3 linked regions of the Anolis sagrei genome follow. The protein of the gene in region 3 purifies or fractionates together with the protein of the main gene of each other region. This does not show direct contact. Links are inferred from orthologs where the notes say so. Each region holds a gene or a part of one and is shown on either strand. Other genes may lie near its edges.

The links. The genes of interacting proteins can lie anywhere in the genome.
Region 1: the proteins of YAP1 (region 3) and RASSF8 purify together in Homo sapiens (affinity purification with mass spectrometry, with the first as the bait; 3 studies listed by BioGRID). This does not show direct contact. The link is inferred for Anolis sagrei from reciprocal best matches to the Homo sapiens genes YAP1 and RASSF8.
Region 2: the proteins of YAP1 (region 3) and AMOTL1 purify together in Homo sapiens (affinity purification with mass spectrometry; 8 studies listed by BioGRID and IntAct, with this or other methods). This does not show direct contact. The link is inferred for Anolis sagrei from reciprocal best matches to the Homo sapiens genes YAP1 and AMOTL1.

What each region holds. Positions count from the first base shown.
Region 1 is NC_090025.1:91,141,672-91,149,539, reverse strand, and holds the start of RASSF8 (ras association domain-containing protein 8), read right to left. Parts: upstream 3,181-7,868; 5' UTR 2,871-3,180; intron 1-2,870.
Region 2 is NC_090023.1:19,891,051-19,898,692, reverse strand, and holds the start of AMOTL1 (angiomotin-like protein 1), read right to left. Parts: upstream 3,181-7,642; 5' UTR 3,166-3,180; coding exon 2,781-3,165; intron 1-2,780. UniProt on the Homo sapiens protein: Inhibits the Wnt/beta-catenin signaling pathway, probably by recruiting CTNNB1 to recycling endosomes and hence preventing its translocation to the nucleus.
Region 3 is NC_090023.1:23,008,465-23,015,551, reverse strand, and holds the start of YAP1 (transcriptional coactivator YAP1), read right to left. Parts: upstream 3,033-7,087; 5' UTR 2,352-3,032; coding exon 2,073-2,351; intron 1-2,072. Other genes in the region: CFAP300 (cilia- and flagella-associated protein 300), read right to left, coding at 6,574-6,705. UniProt on the Homo sapiens protein: Transcriptional regulator with dual roles as a coactivator and corepressor. Critical downstream regulatory target in the Hippo signaling pathway, crucial for organ size control and tumor suppression by restricting proliferation and promoting apoptosis.

The DNA.
Region 1 (7,868 bases), on a different chromosome or scaffold from region 3:
TCAAAACATACAGAGTCACAACATAAGCATGGAATTACCCAACAACACATAAATATTAATAGAAAAAATCCTGCCTGCTCTTCATGTCTATTTGTTAGGGCATGGAAAAGCAATGGGTCAGAACAATTAAAAGGCTGGGTCAAGACTGATACAAATTGAAATAAGATGGGACCAGCATTTGGGTACAGTACTGTAATAGGTAAAACGACAAAAGTGGGAACAAAAGCTATTTCCAGGAGCCTGTTAGAATGACCAGAGTACTATATAGGGGGCTAGGTTGTGTCCGGACAGTGTCTGGACTGAGCTAGCACTGGTCACTCTCGAAGATTTGCTGAAACCACCAAGTCTTCAAACTCTTATGAAAAGAGAGGAGGGATGGGGCCTGTCTTATTTCCCTTGGAAAGGCGTTCCAGAGGCCAGGTGGGGGGGGGGGGCACCACTGAGAAGGCCTTCTCTCTCGTCCCCACCAACCATGGTTGTGACGGAGGTGGGAGCGAGAGGAGGGCCTCCTCCTCAGATCTTAGAATTTGCGCCGGTTCATAGATTCAGATGCGATTGCAAAGATAGGTGGGGACCGAACCGTTAAGAAAAAATAACAGTACAGTGAGGCCACTGCATTGGTTTGCATTACAGGAAGGAAATGTACATCTGCTTACATATAACCCAGAACATCAAGGCAGATAACCCACAATATCTGCTTTGAACTGGATTATCTGAGTCCACACTGCCATAGAATCCTGCTCAATGTGGATTTTTATACAGCTGTGTGGAAGGGCCCCCAGAAAAGCCCCTCAATCCACTCAAACATTAGAAAACAGATGGATCCTCAGTGTTTGTGCATGCTCATTAGAAGGAAGTCCTAATGAAGTCAATAGGTAAGCTTGCCAACCTAGTATTGTTCTTAATTTTTTTTTTTACATTTTTATTGTATCAGACATAGAAAGATACAATCTTCAAAATCAGCAATCAAAATACCAGTATTTTCCCAAATCCCACCACCACCCATCCACATCTCCCCCCTCCCCCCGCCCAGGAACAGTTTACTACTTTTGCTATTCTTATTACAATTGTTCAATCACGAGGTTAGTCTTATTTAACTCCTTATACTTATCTTTCCCCTTTATTCTGGAAATGAGACCCTTCCATTTTGCCTCCCATGTCCTTCTGATTTGGCCCGTCCTATAGTAAGTTTTCTTTCACTAATCTATCTTTCTTTCTTTCTTTCTATATATAAATACTCTGTACGTAATGAGTACCTTAAAAACAAAAGAACCAATGAACGAAATCACAGCAAATTTGGCAACAAAACATCTTACAACACAAGGAGTGACCATCACTCAAAAAATTATGATTTTGTCATTTGGGAGATGTAGTTGCTGGGATTTATAGTTCACCTACAATCAAAGAGCATTCTGAACTCCACCAACGATGGAATTGAACCAAACTTGGCACACAGAACTCCCATGACCAAAGGAAAATACTAGAATTGTTTGGTGGGCATTGACCTTGAGTTTGGGAGTTGTAGTCCACCTACATCCAGAGAGCACTGTGGACTCAAACAATGATGGATCTGGACCAAACTTGGCACAAGCACTCAATACGCCCAAATATGAACACAGATGGAGTTTGGGGGAAATAGACCTTGATATTTGGGAGTTGTAGTCACTGGGATTCACAGTTCACCTACAATCAAAGAGCATCCTGAACCCCACGAACGACAGAATCGGGGCAAACTTTCCACACAGAACCCCCATGACCAACAGAAAATACTTAAGGCCATCCAATCCAACTCCCTTCTTCAGGGCAAGAAAACGTAATCAAAGTCCTCCTGACAAAAAGCCACCCAACCATAGATAGATATAGATAGATAGATATGATTCACACACACAGCGAGAGAGATAGTATTATAGATTTGAAAGGGACCCTTAAAGAAGGATAATGATATCTTGCATGTTCCAGGATGGGCAAACCAGGCACTCTCCACATCAACAATGACAAAGAAACAACAAGAAGTACTGTTTACCCACAAGTATAAAGGAATTACATATATTAGAAACCAACACTTTCTCGTTACTTTATTTTCCAGATCAACAGACTGGGCCACAGCAACGTGTGGCAGGGGACAGCTAGTATGTGTGTGTGTGTGGTTTTGAGCATGCACTGTAATGTAAATTTTGTTTTTTGGCTTTTGAAGTCCCTTCTGCTGTGTTTTTATGAGTGATTGTCACTCGTTGGCCTGATATGTGTTTTGTGTCCAAATTTGGTGTCAATTCGTCCAGTGGTGTTTGAGTTATGTTACTCCCACAAATTACATTTTTATTTATATAGATATTGTTCTTATTTTAAAGAAATGTGTGTGGGGGAGGGGGTGGCTTAAGAATATATTTGTGTTGACCAAAAGGGGCTGTTTGGGGTTCTTTTCAACGGATTGTGCTGCCAGTTTCATAATTTATGACTTTAAAAAAAGTAACAAGTTTGGGAAATCAGGCTGACGTTTGAAGACATCCTGAGTTGATGCATTAACTTCCTAGTAAACCTAAGCAGGCTGCCTGCTATGGGTGGACCAAGTGAAGGGGGGAGGGAGGAGGAATGATGCTGAGGCCGAAAATTGGGGGGGGGGGGGGGGACGGTAAAACAAGCCGTCAAGGAGGCAAAGCGGAAGACAAGTCGGAAAGAGGGGAGGACTTGAGGAATGAGAGGAAACCCTGCAAGAAAGCAGCTGAGGAAGGAAGGAATGCTGGAGGCGGGGAGGGGGAAAGAGAGAGAGAGAGAGAGAGGAGCCCAAAAGAGCAGGAGAAGGGAGGGAAGGAAGGAAGCGAGGAGAGGCAGCGGTGAAGGGAAGGGACGCCAACGCCGAAGTTTGTACATACGGGCTTCTCTGGCTACGGCTCCATCCGCGGCTGGGGTTCCTCTCCTCTCTGCAGTCGCCGCTGCGGGCTTGCCTCCGCCCCTTCCCCAGCCAAGGAAGCTCGCGCCCTGCTTGCCTCCCTGACTGGATTCCTTGCCTCGCGCTCTCTCTCTCTCTCGCGCGCGCGCGCCCAATCTCTCTCGCTGAGTTGGCTGCAGGCAACGGAGTTTGGAGCTGGCCTCCTGGCCCCGCCCCCGCCTGGCTGCGTCTTTGGAGCTCTTCCCCGACGGTCCGCCTGCCTTCTCCTCCAGGAGGGACCGAAAGGGAGGCGTGGGAGCTCTTAAAGCCGCAGCAGCAGCAGCATCCGCATCCGTCGCAGGAGGAAGAGGAGGGGGCCAGGCCTTCCCTCCGCTCCTGCCGGCGGAGGGGAGGCGCGCGCCCATGGGCGCCTGCTGCACGAGGTCAAGCTCTCCCTCCCGGTCACTGATCCCGGCTGGGAGGCACCTAGAACAAGCCAGGCACCCGCAGAGAATCATCGCTGGGGAGATTTGGGGGGGGGGGGGGAGGTAGACTGTAGAGAAAATTCATACACACATATAGGAATGTGCAGGGCCGTAGCCAGAAAAAAATTTCGGGGAGGGTTGACAATTTCAGGGGGGGGGGTTAAAATTTCAGTGGGGGGGTTTGAAAATTTCAGGGAGGGTTGAAATTTTCGGGGGGGGGGGGTTGAAACCTACCTCCTAGCTCACGCTGAAGCAAAGAGCACAGCAGGGGGAAAAGCAACCTTCAATAGTCTGCAGCTCCACCCCTGTCAACCACCTCCACCAAGTCTGGCCTCCTTAATGAGAGCATTCAACAGACACACCCCACCCAACTTGGTTGCTTCACTACATCCGCTATTGCTGAAAGTAATGACAGTGTGAATAAATTGTCAATATTTGCTTGAGATAGTGCTTACAGTTCTGGAGGGACTCTTAATTTTTTGCATCTCATAGACCTAGCATGGGGATTTTTTTAACCAGTTAAAATTCATGAGTAAACCAGGTTTTTTAAAAAAATCTGAAACATTTCGGGGGGGGGGGATTGAACCCCTAAAACCACCCCCTCGCTACAGGCCTGGGAATGTGTGTATATTCTTTTGGGAGGGGGAGGGGGGAAGTTTGGTAATATCGGTTTGGTGATGTGCAGGCCTGTAGCGAGGGGGTGGCTTTAGGGGTTCAACCCCCCTCCCCCCAAATGTTTCAGATTTTTTTAAAAAAACCTGGTTTACTCATGAATTTTAATTGTTTAACCCAATCCCCTTTTTATCTTGTATGCAGAACACATCATGCGATGTGCGGGGCTTGATGAATGCAAGGCTGGGGTGAAAATTGCTGGAAGAAACATTAACAACCTCAGATATGCAGATGACACCACTCTGATGGCCGAAAGCGAGGAGGAGCTGAGGAGCCTTCTAATCAAGGTGAAAGAAAAGCTGGGTTGCAGCTAAACATAAAAAAAACCAAGATTATGGCAACAAGAATGATTGACAACTGGAAAATAGAGGGAGAAAATGTGGAGGCCATAGAATCATAGAATCATAGAATCAAAGAGTTGGAAGAGACCTCATGGGCCATCCAGTCCAACCCCCTGCCAAGAAGCAGGAATATTGCATTCAAATCATCCCTGACAGATGGCCATCCAGCCTCTGTTTAAAAGCTTCCAAAGAAGGAGCCTCCACCACACTCCTGGGCAGAGAGTTCCACTGCTGAACGGCTCTCACAGGAAGTTCTTCCTCATGTTCAGATGGAATCTCCTCTCTTGTAGTTTGAAGCCATTGCTCCGCGTCCTAGTCTCCAAGGAAGCAGAAAACAAGCTTGCTCCCTCCTCCCTGTGGCTTCCTCTCACATATTTATACATGGCTATCATGTCTCCTCTCAGCCTTCTCTTCTTCAGGCTAAACATGCCCAGTTCCCTAAGCCGCTCCTCATAGGGCTTGTTCTCCAGACCCTTGATCATTTTAGTCGCCCTCCTCTGGACACATTCCAGCTTGTCAATATCTCTCTCCATAACATACTTTGTATTTCTAGGCGCAAAGATCACTGCAGATGCAGACTGTAGCCAGGAAATCAGAAGACGCTTACTTCTTGGGAGGAGAGCAATGTCCAGTCTCAATAAAATAGTGAAGAGTAGAGACATCAGACTGGCAACAAAGATCCGCCTAGTCAAAGCCATGGTATTCCCTGTAGTAACCTACGGATGTGAGAGCTGGACCTTAGGGAAGGCTGAGCGAAGGAAGATCGATGCTTTTGAGCTGTGGTGTTGGAGGAAAGTTCTGAGAGTGCCTTGGACTGCGAGAAGATCCAACCAGTCCATCCTCCAGGAAATAAAGCCCGACTGCTCACTGGAGGGAAGGATACTAGAGACAAAGTTGAAGTACTTTGGCCACATCATGAGGAGACAGCAAAGCCTAGAGAAGACAATTATGCTGGGGAAAGTGGAAGGCAAAAGGAAGAGGGGCCAACCAAGGGCAAGATGGATGGATGGCATCCTTGAAGCGACTGGACTGACCTTGAAAGAGCTGGGGGTGCTGACGGCCGACAGGGAGCTCTGGCGTGGGCTGGTCCATGAGGTCACGAAGAGTTGGAGATGACTGAACGAATGAACAACAACAAGCATCTCCCGAAGGATTCGATGCGGCTTACACAGGCCGAGGCCTCAACACACAACACAACAGTCCAATCTAAGCAAATCAAACAATTAAAAACAGAATAAAGCAAAATAAACAACAGGCACAATACACTAAACACAATAAAACTGGGCCAGGCCAAAGCAATGGGTACAAGATTAAAAGTGCTGATGTGACAGGAGGTGTATATAGGGCTTCCAGGGCAAGTGCGATGTGCAGCAATCATTGGTTCTGATAAGGTGCTTATGGGACTTGGTAGTGGAGATTTCCTAATCTGGGAAGGCGCATCGGAAAAGCCAGGTCTTCAAGTTCTTTCTGAAGACAGCCAATGTAGGGGCCTGTCTAAGGTCTTTGGGGAGGGTGTTCCAGAGTCGGGGGGCCACCACAGAAAAGGCCCTGTCCCGCGTCCCCACCAAGCGCGCTTGCGACGCCGGTGGGATTACGAGCAGGGCCTCTCCAGATGACCGAAGAGAACGCGTGGGTTCGTAGATGGAAATGTGGTCACGCAGGTAGGCTGGTCCCAAACCGTTCAGGGCTTTGTAGGTAAGCACCTGCACCTTGAATAGGGCTTGGAAATTAAATGGCAGCCAGTGGAGCTCCTTGAACAAGAGGGTTGACCTCTCTCTGTAAGGGGCCCCAGTTAGCATCCTGGCTGCTGATCGTTGGACCAGTTGGAGCTTCCGAGCCGTCTTCAAGGGCAGCCCCACGTAGAGCGCATTGATCCCGGCTGGGAGGCACCTAGAACAAGCCAGGCACCCGCAGAGAATCATCGCTGGGGAGATTTGGGGGGGGGGGAGGTAGACTGTAGAGAAAATTCATACACACATATTGGAATGTGTGTATATTTTTTTGGGAGGGGAAGGGGGAGGGGGGAAGTTTGGTAATATTGGTTTGGTGATGTGCAGGCCTGTAGCGAGGGGGTGGTTTTAGGGGTTCAACCCCCCCCCCCCAAATGTTTCAGATTTTTTTTAAAAAAACCTGGTTTACTCATGAATTTTAACTGGTTAACCAAATCCCCATGCGAAGTCTATGAGATGCAAAAAATGAAGAGCTATGGGGAGCCCTCTCAGCCCGGTCATAGCTAACTTCTACATGGAACACTTTGAAGAACAAGCCCTGGAGACAGCAACCAAAAAGCCCACGATATGGTTCAGATATGTGGATGACACTTTCACCATTTGGAGCCAGGTTCCTGGACCATCTTAACAGCATCCATCCAAACATCCAGTTCACCATGGAAAAAGAAAATGAAGGAAGACTGCCTTTTCTAGATGTCCTAGTCATCCGCAAACCAGATCAACAATTGGGTCACACCGTCTACAGAAAACCCACACACACAGATAGATATCTACATAAAAACTCCAACCATCACCCAAGTCAAAAAAGAAGCACCATTAAAGCCTTGGCAGACCGTGCAAAAAGAATCTGCGAACCCCACCTCCTCCAAGATGAACTGAACCACCTCAACTGGGCTCTCCAGGCCAATGGATACTCCACCTCAGCCATCAGAAGAGCTGCAAGACCAAGAACAAGCCACGAGAGTCAAGATGAAGATCCACCCAGATTAAAAGTGTTCCTGCCATACATCAAGGGAACCACTGACCACATAGGGAAGCTGATGAGGAAACACAACATGCAAACAATCTACAAACCCACCAAGAAAATCCAACAAATGCTACGTTCAGCAAAGGACAAGAGGGATCCTCTCACCTCTGCAGGAGTCTACCGTATACCATGCAGCTGTGGACAAGTCTACATAGGGACCACCAAACGCAGCATCGCCCAAACACGAATCAAGGAACATGAAAGGCACTGCAGACTACTTCAACCAGAGAAGTCAGCCATAGCAGAGCACCTGATGAACCAGCCTGGACACAGCATATTATTTGGGAACACAGAAATGCTGGACCACACCAACAACCACCATGTCAGACTACACAGAGAAGCCATTGAAATCCACAAGCATGTGGACAATTTCAACAGAAAGGAAGAGACCATGAAAATGAACAAAATCTGGCTACCAGTATTAAAAAACTCTAAAATTACAACAGCAAAACAACAGAGAGGAAACAACCAGGCACAGATTAACACCTCCCAGCAAGAGATTTTCCCAGGCTCAGGCAGGCCTTCAAATGCTAATGAAGGTGATCAGTTGAAACATTCACACCTAGCTCCAGCAGAGAAACGCTCTTTGCCCCACCCAAGCCATTCCACAGATATATAAACCCCTTTTCCTAGTTCCAACAGACCTCACTACCTCTGAGGATGCTTGCCATAGATGCAGGCGAAACGTCAGGAGAAATGCCTCTAGAACATGGCTCTATAGCCCGAAAAATCCCACAAGAACCTAAT
Region 2 (7,642 bases), about 3.1 Mb from region 3:
AACAAGTTTAGACTACAGAGTATGTCTTCAAATGGTCTGTGGTCTTATTGCAATTCCAGAGGGTGTTCTAAAGGTTCATCTGCACCTTAGGAGGAGTGCAGTTTGACACCACTTTGACTGTCATGGCTCAGTGCAATGGGATCGTGAAAGTATGTACAGATTTCTGTTGGTGGTACTAAAATGTGTGTGAGTTTTACAATGGATTGCATTTTAGAATCGAACAAAATATGGGTTTCTTCATTTATAGTCAGTTCTCCCTCTTACAGCAGTTCCATGATTCCATAGCACTGAGGCTGGGATGTTAAAGTGGTGTCAAAGGGCATTTATTCTGGGTTGCTGTGCATTTTCCAGGCTGTATGGCCATGTTCCAGAAGCATTCTCTCCTGACATTTTGCTTGCCTCTATGGCAGGCATGCTCAGAGGTTGTGAGGTCTGTTGAAAACCAGGAAAATTTGGGTTATATTTCTGTGGAATATCCAGGGTGGGAGAAAGAACTCTTGTCTGTTTAAGGCAGGTGTGAATGTTGCAGTTGGCTGCCTTGATTAGCATTTAATAGCCTAGCAGTTTCAAGGTCTGGCTTCTTACTTCCTGGGGGAATCCTTTGCTGGGAAGTGATTAGCTAACCCCAATTATTTCCTGTGTGGAATTTCCCTGTTTTTTTTTAGTGTTGTTCTTTATTTACTGTTATAATGTTTTTTAATACTGGTAGCCAGATTTTGTTCATTTTCATAGTTTCCTCCTTTCTGTTCAAATTGTCCACATACTTGTGGATTTCAGTGGCTTCTCTGTGTAGTCTGACATGGTGGTTGTGAGAGTGGTCCAGCATTTCTGTGTTCTCAAATAATATGCTGTGTTCAGGTTAGTTCATCAAGTGCTTTGCTATGGCTGGTTTCTCTAGTTGGATTAGTCTGCCTTTCCTTTTCTTTAATTTGTGTTTGGACAATGCTGCTGTGTGGTGGTCCCTATGTAGACTTGCCCACAGTTGCATGGTATACAGTAGACTCCTGCAGAAGTGAGAGGATCCCTCTTGTTCTTTGCTGAACGTAGCATTTGTTGGATTTTCTTAGTGGGTCTGTAGATCATTTGCAGATTGTGTTTCTTCATCAGCTTTCCTATGTGGTCAGTGGTTCCCTTGATGTATGGTAAGAACACTTTTCCTCTGGGTAGATCTTCATCTTTATTCTGGTGGCTTGTTCATGGCCTTGCAGCTCTTCTGATGTCTGTAGTGGAGTCTCCATTGGCCTGTAGAGCCCAGTTTAGGTGGCTTGGTTCACCTTGGGAGGAGGTGGGGTTTGCAGATTCATTTTGCCAGTGCTTTAATTGTGCTTCTTTTTTGGACTTGGATGATGGTTGGAGTCTTTATGTAGATATCTATAAGGTGTATGTTTTCTGTAAACATTCACACTTGCCTCAGGTAGACAAGAGTTCTTTCTCCCACCCTGGACATTATTCCACAGATATATAAACCCCATTTTCCTAGTTTCCAACAGACCTCACAACCTCTGAGGATGCCTGTCATAGATGCAGGCAAAACATCAGGAGAGAATGATTCTGGAACACGGCCATATAGCCTATAAAACTCACAGCAACCTAATGATTGTGGCCATGAAAGCCTTCCACAAGCCATTAAAATCCACAAGAAAGGAAGAAACCATGAAAATGAACAAAATCTGGCTACCAGTATTAAAAAAACTCTAAAATTATAACAGTAAATAAAGAACACAGGGGAACTTCAGACAAGAAACAACCAGAAACACCTAATTACCTCCCAACAAAGGATTCTCCCAGGCAGTAAAAGGTCACTCCTAAAAACTGCCAGGCCATCAAATGCTAATCAACGTTAAAACATTCACACCTATCTCCAACAGACAAGAGTTCTTTCTCCCACTCTGGACTTTCCACAGATATAGAATATATATTTTTCCTAGTTTCCAACAGACCTCACCACCTCTGAGGATGCTTGCCATGGATGCAGGCAAAATGTCAGGAGATAATGCTTCTAGACCATGGCTGTAGAGCCCGAAAAACCTACAACAGCCCTTCCACAAGCCATTTATTCTCTATCTACAGCAACTTAAGCGGGTGAGGGAGGAAAGGAAGGGACCGGAGAGTGTTAGAAACGGTGGGAGTTGAAGTCCAAAACAAAAGGCTTTCCCATTCCTGACATAGATGCACTTTGGAAAAGTAATCCCACTGAGGACCTTTGGCAAACTCTCCTCCCCAAGGAACAACAACTCACAGCAACCCAGAACAAGAACTGAAGCTTCTTCCAGGGCACATCTCAAGTTTGTTGACATTTCAGAAGGCGAGGAATACCTAAGTTGGAGGAAGGGGCTTGCAAAGGGGGATGAGAAGCCCTAACAGTGCCAGGCAAGCTCCAGCATCGCCTTCACCGCCTGCAGAGAGAAGGAGCCGCTTGGCAGCCAGGGCGCTTCTCTCCCAAGACCTGGGGATGGGGTTCCCCTTTTCCACCCTCCCTCCATCCGCTGCCCACCCCTCTGCACGACCCTCCCCTGGATTTCCCCCTCTTTCCAGCCCCGCCAACCCAAAGGGGAGGCTTGGAAAGGAGAGGAAACCAGAGGCGAGGAATGGCGCAAAGCCTTTTCCAGCGCGCAACGCTTGGCGCTTTGACAGCCTTTTGCGCGACTCGACCCGCACTTTGGGGCATCCCGCCTTGGCTAAAAGCGGAAAAGAGGAATGCAAGAGGGGCAAAGGGAACCCCCTTCCTCCTCCCGGAATGAACAGAATGCCAGGGAGTATGATTCCCCCCTTTCTTTTACCTCCTGCCCAAATCATAGCAACTTCGCGGCGTCTTAAGCTTGGCCCATGGGTTCGACGTCTCCAGAGCTGCCTCCTCCTCCTCCTCCTTTTCCTCCTTCTCTTCCTTTCTCCTCCTTCCTTTCCCCAACCCCGTCCGGTCCCTGGAAGGCTACGGCGCCCAGGCAGCAGGGACTCGGCTTCCCAAAGTAATCCTACCCGGGGAAAAGCCCGCCGCGCCCTCCGAGGCCGGCGCCTGCCAGGTCCTAGCGCGCCTCGCCACCGCCCAGGGCTTCTCCAAGGCGCCCCTCCACGCTCTCCACTGACAGCGCCGGGATTCCCCTTTAATGGCTGCCCATCCATCCCATGGCATCCCAGGGCTTGTGGTTTGGAAGGGGCATCCCACATCCCCAGCCTGAGAGGCATCCAGTGCCTCACCAAGGATGCATCTACGCCAGGAAACCCTGGAATGATTTCAGAAGCTTGGATTTGGAAAACAGAGTCAATAGGTTCTTGTGGGTTTTTTCGGGCTATAGGGCCATGTTCTAGAGGCATTTCTCCTGATGTTTCGCCTGCACCTATGGCAAGCATCCTCAGAGGTAGTGAGGTCTGAACATGGCCCTATAGCCCGAAAAAACCCACAAGAACCTAGTGATTCCATCCATGAAAGCCTTCGACAATACAGAAATAGTCAACTTCTTACACCAGCCAACATGCATTTTGGGGCCTCAAAGATTAGTCATATTTCTGGGAATATATGACTTGCTGATTCCAAGACTGGCAACTGTTTCCCCCTATCACAGGCACAGGTGATTTGGACTTCAACTCTCACAATTCCTCAAGCCTCAGGCCCCTTCCTTTTCCTCCTCAGCCGCTTAAGTGGTTAGGAATTGTAGGAGTTGAAGTCCAAAACACTTGGAGGGACTGGTGTTTTTGGTCTTCCTTGGTATCTGTCTTCCATTGTTTTTATGTCTTGGTGAAATTTCTCACCTTGGTCTTAAGTCACTTCCATATCGAAGAAGCTAGCACAGATGTGGTCTATCCAATGCAATGTTCTGAATCAGCACCCCAAATGACCAAACCAAATCTAAAGCTGACCAAAAACTGATTGGTACTAATGTTGAAGAGTAGTCCCTGGTCAAGATGGTCCCTGGTCAAGTGGTCCCTGTTAAGGTGGTCTCTGGTCAAAGTAGTCCCTGATCAAAGTGGTCTCTGGTCAAAGTGGTTCCTGGTCAAGGTGGTCCCTGGTCAAGGTGGTCCCTGGTCAAGGTGGTCCCTGGCCAAAGTGGTCCCAATCAAGGTGGTCCCTGGTCAAGGTGGTCCCTGGTCAGAGTGGTCCCTAGTCAAAGTGGTCCCTGGCCAAAGTGGTCTCTGGTCAAAGTGGTCCCTGGTCAAAGTGGTCTCTGGTCAAAGAAGTCCCTAGTCAAAGTGGTCCCTAGTCAAGGTGGTCCCTGGTCAAAGTGGTCCCTGGTCAAAGAAGTCCCTGGCCAAAGTGGTCTCTGGTCAAAGAAGTCCCTAGTCAAAGTGGTCCCTAGTCAAGGTGGTCCCTGGTCAAAGTGGTCCCTGGTCAAAGAAGTCCCTGGCCAAAGTGGTCTCTGGCCAAAGAGGTCTCTGGTCAAAGTCGTCCCTGGCCAAAGTGGTCCCTGGCCAAAGAGGTCCCTGGCCAAAGAGGTCCCTGGTCAAAGTCGTCCCTGGCCAAAGTGGTCTCTGGCCAAAGTGGTCCCTGGTCAAAGTGGTCTCTGGTCAAAGAAGTCCCTAGTCAAGGTGGTCCCTGGTCAAGGTGGTCCATGTTAAAGTGGTCCCTGTTAAAGTGGTCTCTGGTCAAAGTGGCCCCTGGTCAAGTGGTTTCTGTTCAAAGTGGTTTCTGTTCAAAGTGGTCCCTGGTCATGTGGTCCCTGGTCAGAGTGGTCCCTGGTCAAAAAAAGGTTGGGAACCACTGGTGCAGATGCACCCAAAGACATTTTGGAGATACATACAGTATGATCCCCATATCCACAGTGGATATGTTCTTAGATTTCATATGGATGCACAAAACCATGGGTGATTGTGAAATGAAGGACATTTGGCCCAGGAAGAGTCAGGCTGGAAGACCTCAAACATGCCCAGAAAGGACATTTTTGGTCAGATGTGGATAAATGAAACCATGGATATGGGGATTCTATTGTATAAATGATAAAATATTATAGCAACAGAAGAAGGTTGCCTTGACACAGCTTTCAATCAGTCCTTATTACAGCAAACACAGATGGTGGCTTCCAAAAGGATAGTGGCTGAGAACAAGAGGGAATAGGAATATGAAATAAATCGATATAATAAAATCCAGCGAGTGTAATCTCTGACTCATCCATAGCACAGAGTCCAATGATGGTGTTTAGTTATTGTGGGATGTAGAATGACAGCTGAGAAAGAAAAATGGAAGGTGGATGGGGGTTAATGAATGGAGAAAGCGGTTCTTTTAGGGAGAAGGGAAAACAGCAAAGCTTTGTTGGAAATGTCTCATGCTGGGCCTCACAATTATTATATCAGTGTCATCCACAGCAATTAGATTTGGATTTAGTGTGTATGTACTAGACTGACTCATTTAATTGTTTGTAACAAACAATGTGCTTTGCCCACACAAGAACCACTCAAGGTTTCTTGCTATCTGAACGAAACAAACAACAACAAATGGCATTCTCCAGTAGAACAAAATTACTTATTTAATTGCCTAGTAGAAAAGCCATCATAGTGTAGTATTTTGATCACTGAGTTACAATGCTAGAGTCCAGGTTTGAATCTCTGTTTTGCTATGGAAACCCACTTGGGCAAGTCACATTCTCTCAGGGTGCGTCTACATTGTAGACTTAATGCAGTTTGACACTACTTTGAACTGCCATGGCTCACTGCTATGAAATCATGGGATCGTTTTGCAAGGCTTCTCTGCCTGTCCAATAAGCCCATATCATTGAGCCATGGCAGTTACTGGAGTGTCAAGCTGTGGTTTTGTTCTAGAATGCATATTACCATGAACTTCTCTTGACCCAAATCACAGCTTACTCTTAGGTGAACATAATAATAATAATAATAATAATAATAATAATAATAATAACAACAATAACAAAAACAACAAACAAACAAACGCCATCAAAGCCAGAATTAAAAAGTCGATGACAGATCCCAAATGTAGATGTAGGAAGCAGATGAAACAATAGATCACATCCTCAGCTGCTGCAAGAAGATCGTGCAGACAGACTACAAGCAGAGGCATAACACCGTTGCCCAGATGATTCATTAGAACTTGTGCCACAAATACCATCTGCCTGAGACAAAGAACTGGTAGGATCGCAAGCCTTAAAAGATTACAGAAAATGAACACATCAAACTACTCTGGGACTTCTGGATTCAGACAGAGTTTGGGAGCACAATACTCCTGACCTCACAATCGTGTTAAAAAACAAAGTATGGATTGTCGATGTTGCAATCCCAGGCGACAGCAGGATTGAAGAGAAACAACTGGAAAAAATGACACATTATGAGGATTTAAAGATCGAACTGCAAAGACTCTGGCACAAGCCAGTCAAGGTGGTCCCAGTGGTGTTTGGCACACTGGGTGCAGTGCCTAAAGACCTTGGCCTGCATTTGAACACAACCGGCGCTGACAAAATTACCATCTGCCAGCTGCAGAAGGCCACCTTACTGGGATCTGCACACATTATTTGCCAATACATCACACAGTCCTAGACACTTGGGAAGTGTCTGACGTGTGATCCAATACAACAGCAGCAGAGTAATCTTGTTTGCTGTGGACTCATCTTGTTGTGTTTCTAATAATAATAATAATCATCATCATCATCATCATCATCATCATCATCTTTATTTATACCCCGCCACCATCTCCTCACAGGGGACTCAGGGCAGCTAACATGAGGCCAAACCCAAAATTACAGTACAGCAAAATAGTCCACACAAGCAAATAATACTTCAAAATAAAAAAAAATGAAATAACAAAGTATAACAAAATATAAAATAAACAAAAGTAAAATAACTTGATAGAGAAATAAAACACAGTGGGCGGGCCAAATGCAAAGGATAAAATTGATAAAATCCTGGGTGAGATAAGTAAATGGAGAAGAATGTGTCTGAGAGGTGAGCTTAGAAGGGGCGAACAATGGGATTGAGCCTTTATTAAGGACGGGAGAAAGTGCATCATGAGGACAGTACTGTAGTTGGGACGGACATGATATGGGGATATGTGTTCACTTTGTAAAACTACAGCTCCCACAATTCTATAGCATTGAGCCATGGCAGCTTAAATTGGTATCAAATTGCATTGATTCAACACTGTAGATGCACCCCTTATTATGTACTGTGTAGTCCAGTGGTTCTCAACGTGTGAGTCCCCAGATGTTTTGGCCTTCAACTCCCAGAAATCCTAACAGCTGGTAAACTGGCTGGGATTTCTGGGAGTTGAAGGCTAAAACACCTGGGGACCCACACATTGAGAACCACTGGTCTAGTCAACAGCATTTGCAAAGTTTCATCTATAACAGTGGTTCCCAACCTTTTTTTTGACCAGGGACCACTTTCAACATTAGTACCAAAAGGGTAATGAATCAGTTTTTGGTCAACTTTAGATTCAGTTTGGTTATTTGGGGTGCTGATTCAGAAAATTGCATTGGCTAGTCCACATCAGCTCCAGTTTCTGATACAGAACATATGCCATCCAGTAGTTGCCATCTGCTCGTCCATAGAAAACTATATTTAATAATCTAGAGATGATGTAGTAGTAGCAATCTTTAGTGGGTAGTCAGCCTCCCCCCTCCTGACATCTCCATTGCCTCAGCACTATAAGAGGGCTTTGTGAGACCAGTCACTCTCATTGCTGCATGGCAATGGTGTAGTAATG
Region 3 (7,087 bases):
TTTACACAAAACAGCCCTCACACTGGAGCTTTCTCCCACAAGGCTTCTCTTATGCTAGGCCTCCCTTGGAAGGCCCAAGTTTGCCCATACCTAATAAAGACCTTGTAGTGTTACACACAACAGCCTTCGCAGTGGGACTTTCTCACACAGGGCTTCTCATACCAGGCCTTCCTCATAGTGAAACCTCTCTCACACAGAGGCATTTTTACTCTTCCCAGAAAAGGAGGGCGCCTGAGGCTGTTAGGAATAGTAGGAGTTGAAGCCCAAAACACCTGGAGGGAGGGCCCAAGTTGGCCCATACCGGCTAAAAACCTTGTATCTTTACACACAGCAGCCTTCACACTGGAGGTTTCTCACACAAGGCTTCTCCCACACCAGGCCTTCCTCATAGTGAAACTTCTCTCACACTGAGGCATTTTTTCTCTTTGCAGAAAAGGAAGAGGCCTGAGGCTGTTAGGAATGGTGAGAGTTGGAAGTCCAAAACACCTGGAGGAAGGGCCCAAGTTTGCCCATACCTGCTAAAGACCTTGTAGCTTTACACACAGCAGCATTCACACAAGCTTCTCTCATACCAGGCCTTCCTCATAGTGAAACTTCTCTCACACTGAGGCATTTTTCTCTTTGCAGAAATGGAAGAGGCCTGAGGCTGTTAGGAATGGTGAGAGTTGGAAGTCCAAAACACCTGGAGGAAAGGCCCAAGTTTGTCCATATCTGCTAAAGACCTTGCAGCTTTACACAAAAGAGCCCTCATACTGGAACTTTCTCCCACAAGGCTTCTCTCATACCAGGCCTTCTCATACCAGGCCTTCCTTGGAAGGGCCCAAGTTTGCCCATACCTGCTAAAGACCTTGTAGCTTTACACACAACAGCCTTCACAGTGGGGCTTTCTCACACAGGGCTTCTCTCACACCAGGCCTACCTCATAGTGAAACTTCTCTCACACAGAGGCATTTTTACTCTTTTCAGAAAAGGAAGGGGCCTGAGGCTGTTAGGAATGGTGAGAGTTGGAAGTCCAAAACACCTGGAGGGAGGGCCCAATTTGTCCATACCTGCTAAAAACCTTGTAGCTTTACACACAGCAGCCTTCACACTGGAGGTTTCTCACACAAGACTTCTCTCACACTAGGCCTTCCTCATAGTAAAACTTCTCTCACACTGAGGCATTTTTACTCTTCCCAGAAAAGGAGGGCACCTGAGGCTGTTAGGAATAGTAGGAGTTGAAGCCCAAAACACCTGGAGGGAGGGCCCAAGTTTGTCCATATCTGCTAAAGACTTTGCAGTTTTACACAAAACAGCCCTTACACTGGAGCTTTCTCCCACAAGGCTTCTCTTTTAATAGGCTTTCTCATACCAGGCCTTCCTCAGGAGGGCCCAAGTTTGCCCATACCTGCTAAAGACCTTCTAGTGTTACACATAACAGCCTTCACAGTGGGGCTTTCTCACACAAGGCTTCTCTCACACCAGACCATCCTCACAGTGAAACTTCTCTCACACTGAGGCATTTTTACTCTTCCCAGAAAAGGAGGGCGCCTGAGGCTGTAGGAGTCGAAGCTCAAAACACCTGGCCCAAGTTTGCCTATACCTGCTAAGGACCTTGTAGCTTTACACACAGCAGCCTTCACACTGGAGGTTTCTCACACAGGGCTTCTCTCACACCAGGCCATCCTCATAGTGAAACTTTGAGGCTGTTAGGAATAGTAGGAGTTGAAGCCCAAAACACCTGGAGGGAGGGCCCAAGTTGGCCCATACCTGCTAAAGACCTTGTAGCGTTACACACAACAGCCTTCACAGTGGAGCTTTCTCACACAGGGCTTCTCTCACACCAGGCCTTCCTCATAGTGAAACTTCTCTCACACAGAGGCATTTTTACTCTTCCCAGAAAAGGAAGGGGCCTGAGGCTGTTAGGAATAGTAGGAGTTGAAGCCCAAAGCACCTGGAGGGAGGGCCCAAGTTGGCCCATGCCTGTTCTACATGTAGATGCACCCCAGGAGGTTAGAGTAGGGATTGCCAAACTCCAGCTCAGCAGGTACTTGCAATGCCCAGTGTCCAGGGCGCCCCTTCCTCCCGCTCACCTGTCTGGAGTGGGCCTTGGGCTCTGGCGGCTTGAAGAAGGAGTCCGGCAGCTTCCGGAGCCTCATGGGCAGCGTGTGGGGCACGTTGGCGCCCTTGGGGTTCATGACGGCGTTGAAGAGGGCCTCCAGGTCGGTCTCCGAGTCTCCCCGGACGTGGACGATCTGGTGTCCGGCCGGAGGCGGCGGCGGGGGCGGAGGCGGCTGTTGCTGCTGCCCGGAGCCGCCGCTCTCCGGGGCCGAGGCTTGCGGAGGGGTCTGCCCCGCTGCGGAGGCCTCCATGGCGGGCGACGGGGCTCCTCCTCCTCCTCTCCCCCTCCTCGGCTGCTTCTCTCAAGCCTCCGCTCCCGGCTGGCCGTCTTTCATCCCCCGAAACCTTCGCTTGCTTCTTTTTTCTCCTTCAGCCGAGCTCAAAACAAAACTTCGCAAACTAGCCCGCCCGCGCCGAACTCCGCCTCTAATGCGACTCAATGTAGCCCGGCCGCAGAAACTGAAGATTTTTTTTCTCCCTCTTCTCGCGCCCGGCCGCGCGGAAATCCTTTCAGAGCAATTTTTCCTCCAAGCCGCCTGTCAATCAATCGCAATCACTGCAATCTTCCTTTCCTCCTTCACTAATCCGTCCCAACTCCGATATAAGTTGGTTACTTCTCAATTATCTCTTTGACTGACTCCTAAAGAAAAGTTCGCAAAGGCGCCCGCCCGAGTCAATTCTGTAGGAATCAGTTCTTGATTCTTTTTTTTCCTTCCTTCGCACGCAAAATTTTTTCAACTCTCCCGACAATTTTCTCCTCTAATCCGTCCCAGCTTTGAGGAAAAAAAAGAAAATAGATGTATAGATCTATCTATAATGCCTCGACGTCCCTGTTTGTCGTTGATCAGGAGCTCAAACGCTGCCAAACAAAAGTTCCCAAAGTCGCCCGCCCGAGCCAGCTCCGCCCCGCGAGGGCCCGCCCGCGCCGAATTTCGACGGGGCTTAATGCAGCCCAGCCAGAGTTAAAGGAGGCTCTGTTTCAATTCTCCTTTCACGCGCCCGCCCACTCTGATTTTTTTAAAAGCAATTTTGCACTGATTTAAAGACTTCAATGTGTTGGGATTCCCTCACGTTTACTTTCGTGGCTCTTTTTTTCCTCTTTTCCAGCTGAGACAATTGTTGTGTTTTTATTTTTAGTCGTTTTTCAAGCAAACCCGCCCGAGTCGTTTTCTTGGCCTCCACTAGTGTCCAGGAACCGTGTATTTTATACTTCTACCCACCCTCCTCATCCTGTCTCCCCCTCCAAAAAAAAAAAAGTTTTCCAACCCTCCCACGGAGACGAAAAGGAGGGGAAAGTGGGAGTATTTCGCCTCCCACACACACACACACACACCATTAAAAAGAGGAGAAAGGGAGGGGGAAAGGAAACAAGACCCCAACCCACCAGGCTTCAAAGCCCCCATGGAAGAGGAGGAGGGAAGGGAAGGGGAGGGAAAGGACACCTCTGCAATCATTGCCAGGACTTTGTGTTCTGTGGTTGCTTTGCAGCAAGGCTTCTCTAGCAAGCTTGGTGGAGAATCAACCCTTGCTTACCCTACCTCTTTATTCCCCCCAAAATAAATCACAGCCTGCAATCTTAACTATTGTCTGCTCAAAAGTAAACCTTAATAAACTCAATGTCAAACTCTGGCATAGACACTGAGAACTGGAAAGCCCTGGGCCTTGAGCGCTCCAGCTGGAGGTCAGCTGTGACCACCAGTGTTGTAGAATTTGAAGAAGCAGGAATGGAGAGCAAAAGAAAGAAACATGCCAAGAGGAAGGTGCATGAAGCCAACCCCGACCGGGACCGCCTTCCACCTGGAAACCGATGCCCTCACTGCGGGAGAACATGCAGATCAATAATAGGGCTCCACAGTCACCTACGTACCAACTGCCAGTAAACCAACCTTACTCCGACAACGAGGGATTATTATTATTATTATTAAACTTTATTTGTTCCCCGCTAGCATCTCCCGAAGGACTCATTGCGGCTTACAAAGGCCAAGGCCTCAACACAACAACAGCAAACAATAACAATACGATGCAAAGCAAATTAAAAACATAAGCAATAAGAAAACATTACACTATTACGCAATAAAAACCAGGGCTGGGCCAGTGATGGGTACAGGTTAAAAAGTGCTGGCTGTGAGAGGTAGTATGTTGGGATTCTGGGCAAGTGCAATGTGCAGAGAGTCTTAAACTCTAATAAAGTGCTTCTGGGACATAGTGGGGGTTATCCTATTCCGGAAAAGCACATCTGAATAGCCAGGTCTTCAAGTTTTTCCTAAAGACTGCCAACGTGGGTGCTAGTCTAATGTCTTTGGGGAGGGTGTTCCAGAGTTGGGGGGCAACCACAGAGAAGGCCCTGTCCCTCGTCCCCACCAAACGTGCCTGCGACGCAGGTGGGATCGCGAGCAGGGCCCCTCCGGATGAACGAAGGGAGCGCGTGGGTTCATAAACGGAGATGCGGTCACGCAGGTAGGCAGGTCCCAAACCGTTTAGGGCTTTGTAGGTAAGCACCTGCACCTTGAATTAGATCACCTAAGTAAGCAGCTAAGATGAAGGTGGCATGCTTTCAGGGTGAAGAATTGTCACAACCTGACACCACTTTGAACTGCCATGGCACAATGCAATGGAATCCAAGGATTTGCAGTCTGGTGAGGCACCAGCAGCTTCTCGCACAGAAAGCTAAAGACCAGGCCTGGGAAAACTTGGGCCCTCCCTCCAGGTGTTTTGGACTTTAACTCCCACCATTCCCAGCAGCCATTCTCTCACGCCAGAAGCGACTTGCAGTTTCTCAAGTCGCGCCTGACACGAGAAAAAAAGCAGCCTCAAGCCCTTTATTTATTTACGATATTTCTATCCCGCCTTTCTTGAACTTGAAGGTGACCCAAGATGGCTTTACAACATAGGCAGCTATTAGATGCCGTTAAAACAATGTAAAAATTACAATATTTTTTTTGATTTATAAAATGCATACATTAAAACCTTTAAAAACATATAAAACCTCGTCGTCCAAAAACATTGTCTAAGCTGTTTCAGTATTTGATTTCACATACTTCCGTGTTTATTTATTGTACTAGATTCCCAAAGGCTTGTTCAAATAGCCATGTTTTCACTGGTCTGTGGAAAGTCAGGAGGAAAGGGGTTCATTTAATATCCCTAGAGAGGGAGTTCCACAGTTGAGGGGCCACCACTGAGAAGGCCCTGTCTCTCGGCCCCGCCAGTTGCATCTGCAAAGAAGGCAGGATCAAGAGCAGGGCCTCCCCAGATGATCTTAAACTCCTAGATGGTTCATAGGGAGAGATAAATTCGGACATGTAAGTTGGGCCAGAACCATTTAGGGTTTTATAGTCTAAAGCCAGCACTTTGGATTGTGCTCGGTAGCAAACTGGCAGCAAGTGTCAGGTAGGCCTCAGAGTTAGTAGGCCTCAGTGTGTGAGAGGCCTGGTGTGAGGACAGCCTGGTGAGAGAAGCCCCAGGTTTATTTATTTATTTACTTACAACATTTCTATCCTGCCTTTCTCACCCTGGAGGGGACTCAAGTCGGCTTTACAAAAAGGCAACAATTTGATGCCTTAAAACACAATGTACAGTTAAATAAATATTAAAATATAATTTTAAAGTACATTAAAACAATTAAAACATTTAAAAACAATCAGGTTGAAGACTTTGTGTAAGAAGCTCCAGTGTGAAGGCTACTGTGTGTAAAAAGGCAACTGTGTAAAAAAGGCAACTCTGTACATAGGGAAAGGGAAGGGACCTGAGGCTGTTAGGAATGGTGGGAGTTGAAGTCCAAAACACCTGGAAGGAGGGCCCAAGTTTGCCCATGCCTCCCCATGACCTTGTAAAAATGATAACTCCCATCATTCCATACCATGGAGCCATGGGAGTTGAAGTAGTACCAAACTGCATCACTTCTACAGTGTAAAACAAACAAAATGTTTTACAAAATGTTGGGGTTCACTTTCTCTTTTTTTAAAAATTCCCTCATTAATTATAAAATTATTGCTGCTTTAGGACCACATAAGCAATCTGAACTGAGAACTGTTTCTTGACCCATCAATCATCAACAACAGACTCATCAATCAAATTCCAAACCAATAGTTATATGTTTTCATAGTTTAAAATTGCTATTTCATACTCAAAATGTATGTACACAACATTTAAAAAGTTTTTATTTATGGTTAAGAAAACACAAATGTAAATGTTATTATGATAGTTTCAAATAAGAGTCTTTGTAGGCAGGATATAATTCAGCAACAGCAAAACTTTTCAAATAGTACATTGCACAAGTATTGATATGGGTATTAAGTCTGTAACATTAATAATACAAAATATGTGTTTGAAACCATACTGAGTACCTTAGATTTCTGGGAAGGGGAAAACGTGTGTAGATAACATAGATCTCTTTGAAAAGAACAGAATCCTGACAAATCTATATCTAAGGAGAATTCATCTATTCATCAAATAAACTTGAGGAATCAAACCCAGTCAATTACAGAACAAAGCTCCGCCGTAAGAATGATACAAAACATAAATGTGCCGTTTCAAAGGATTCACGATCAAATAGGCAAAATTCTGCTCATGTCTGTTCGATGATGGATAACAAAGGCCATGAGCATCCTGGAAGAAAAAGTATATAGCATTAATATAATGTAATAATGGATAGTACTCATTTGTGAAAGAGTTCTAGAGCCTGGTTTAAATTGAGTTAAGCACTCTTGTCCTGCTTTTGAACCCCATTTTTGGACAAAAGGTAGGATATAATCTGCCCTGAGTCCCCTTGGGGAGATAGAGCGGAAAACAAATTATTATTATTATTATTATTATTATTATTATTATTATTATTATAAATAAAATGCTTGATTTTTATGTGTAACACTAAACCACTCCCTCTTGATGTGACCCAAATATGAGGAGATGACTGAAATAAGCTGCTTGTTTTCCTAATTAATTGTGATTTTTGTTTATGTCCAAAGCAAGGCAAACTGTGGTTATTGTTAAA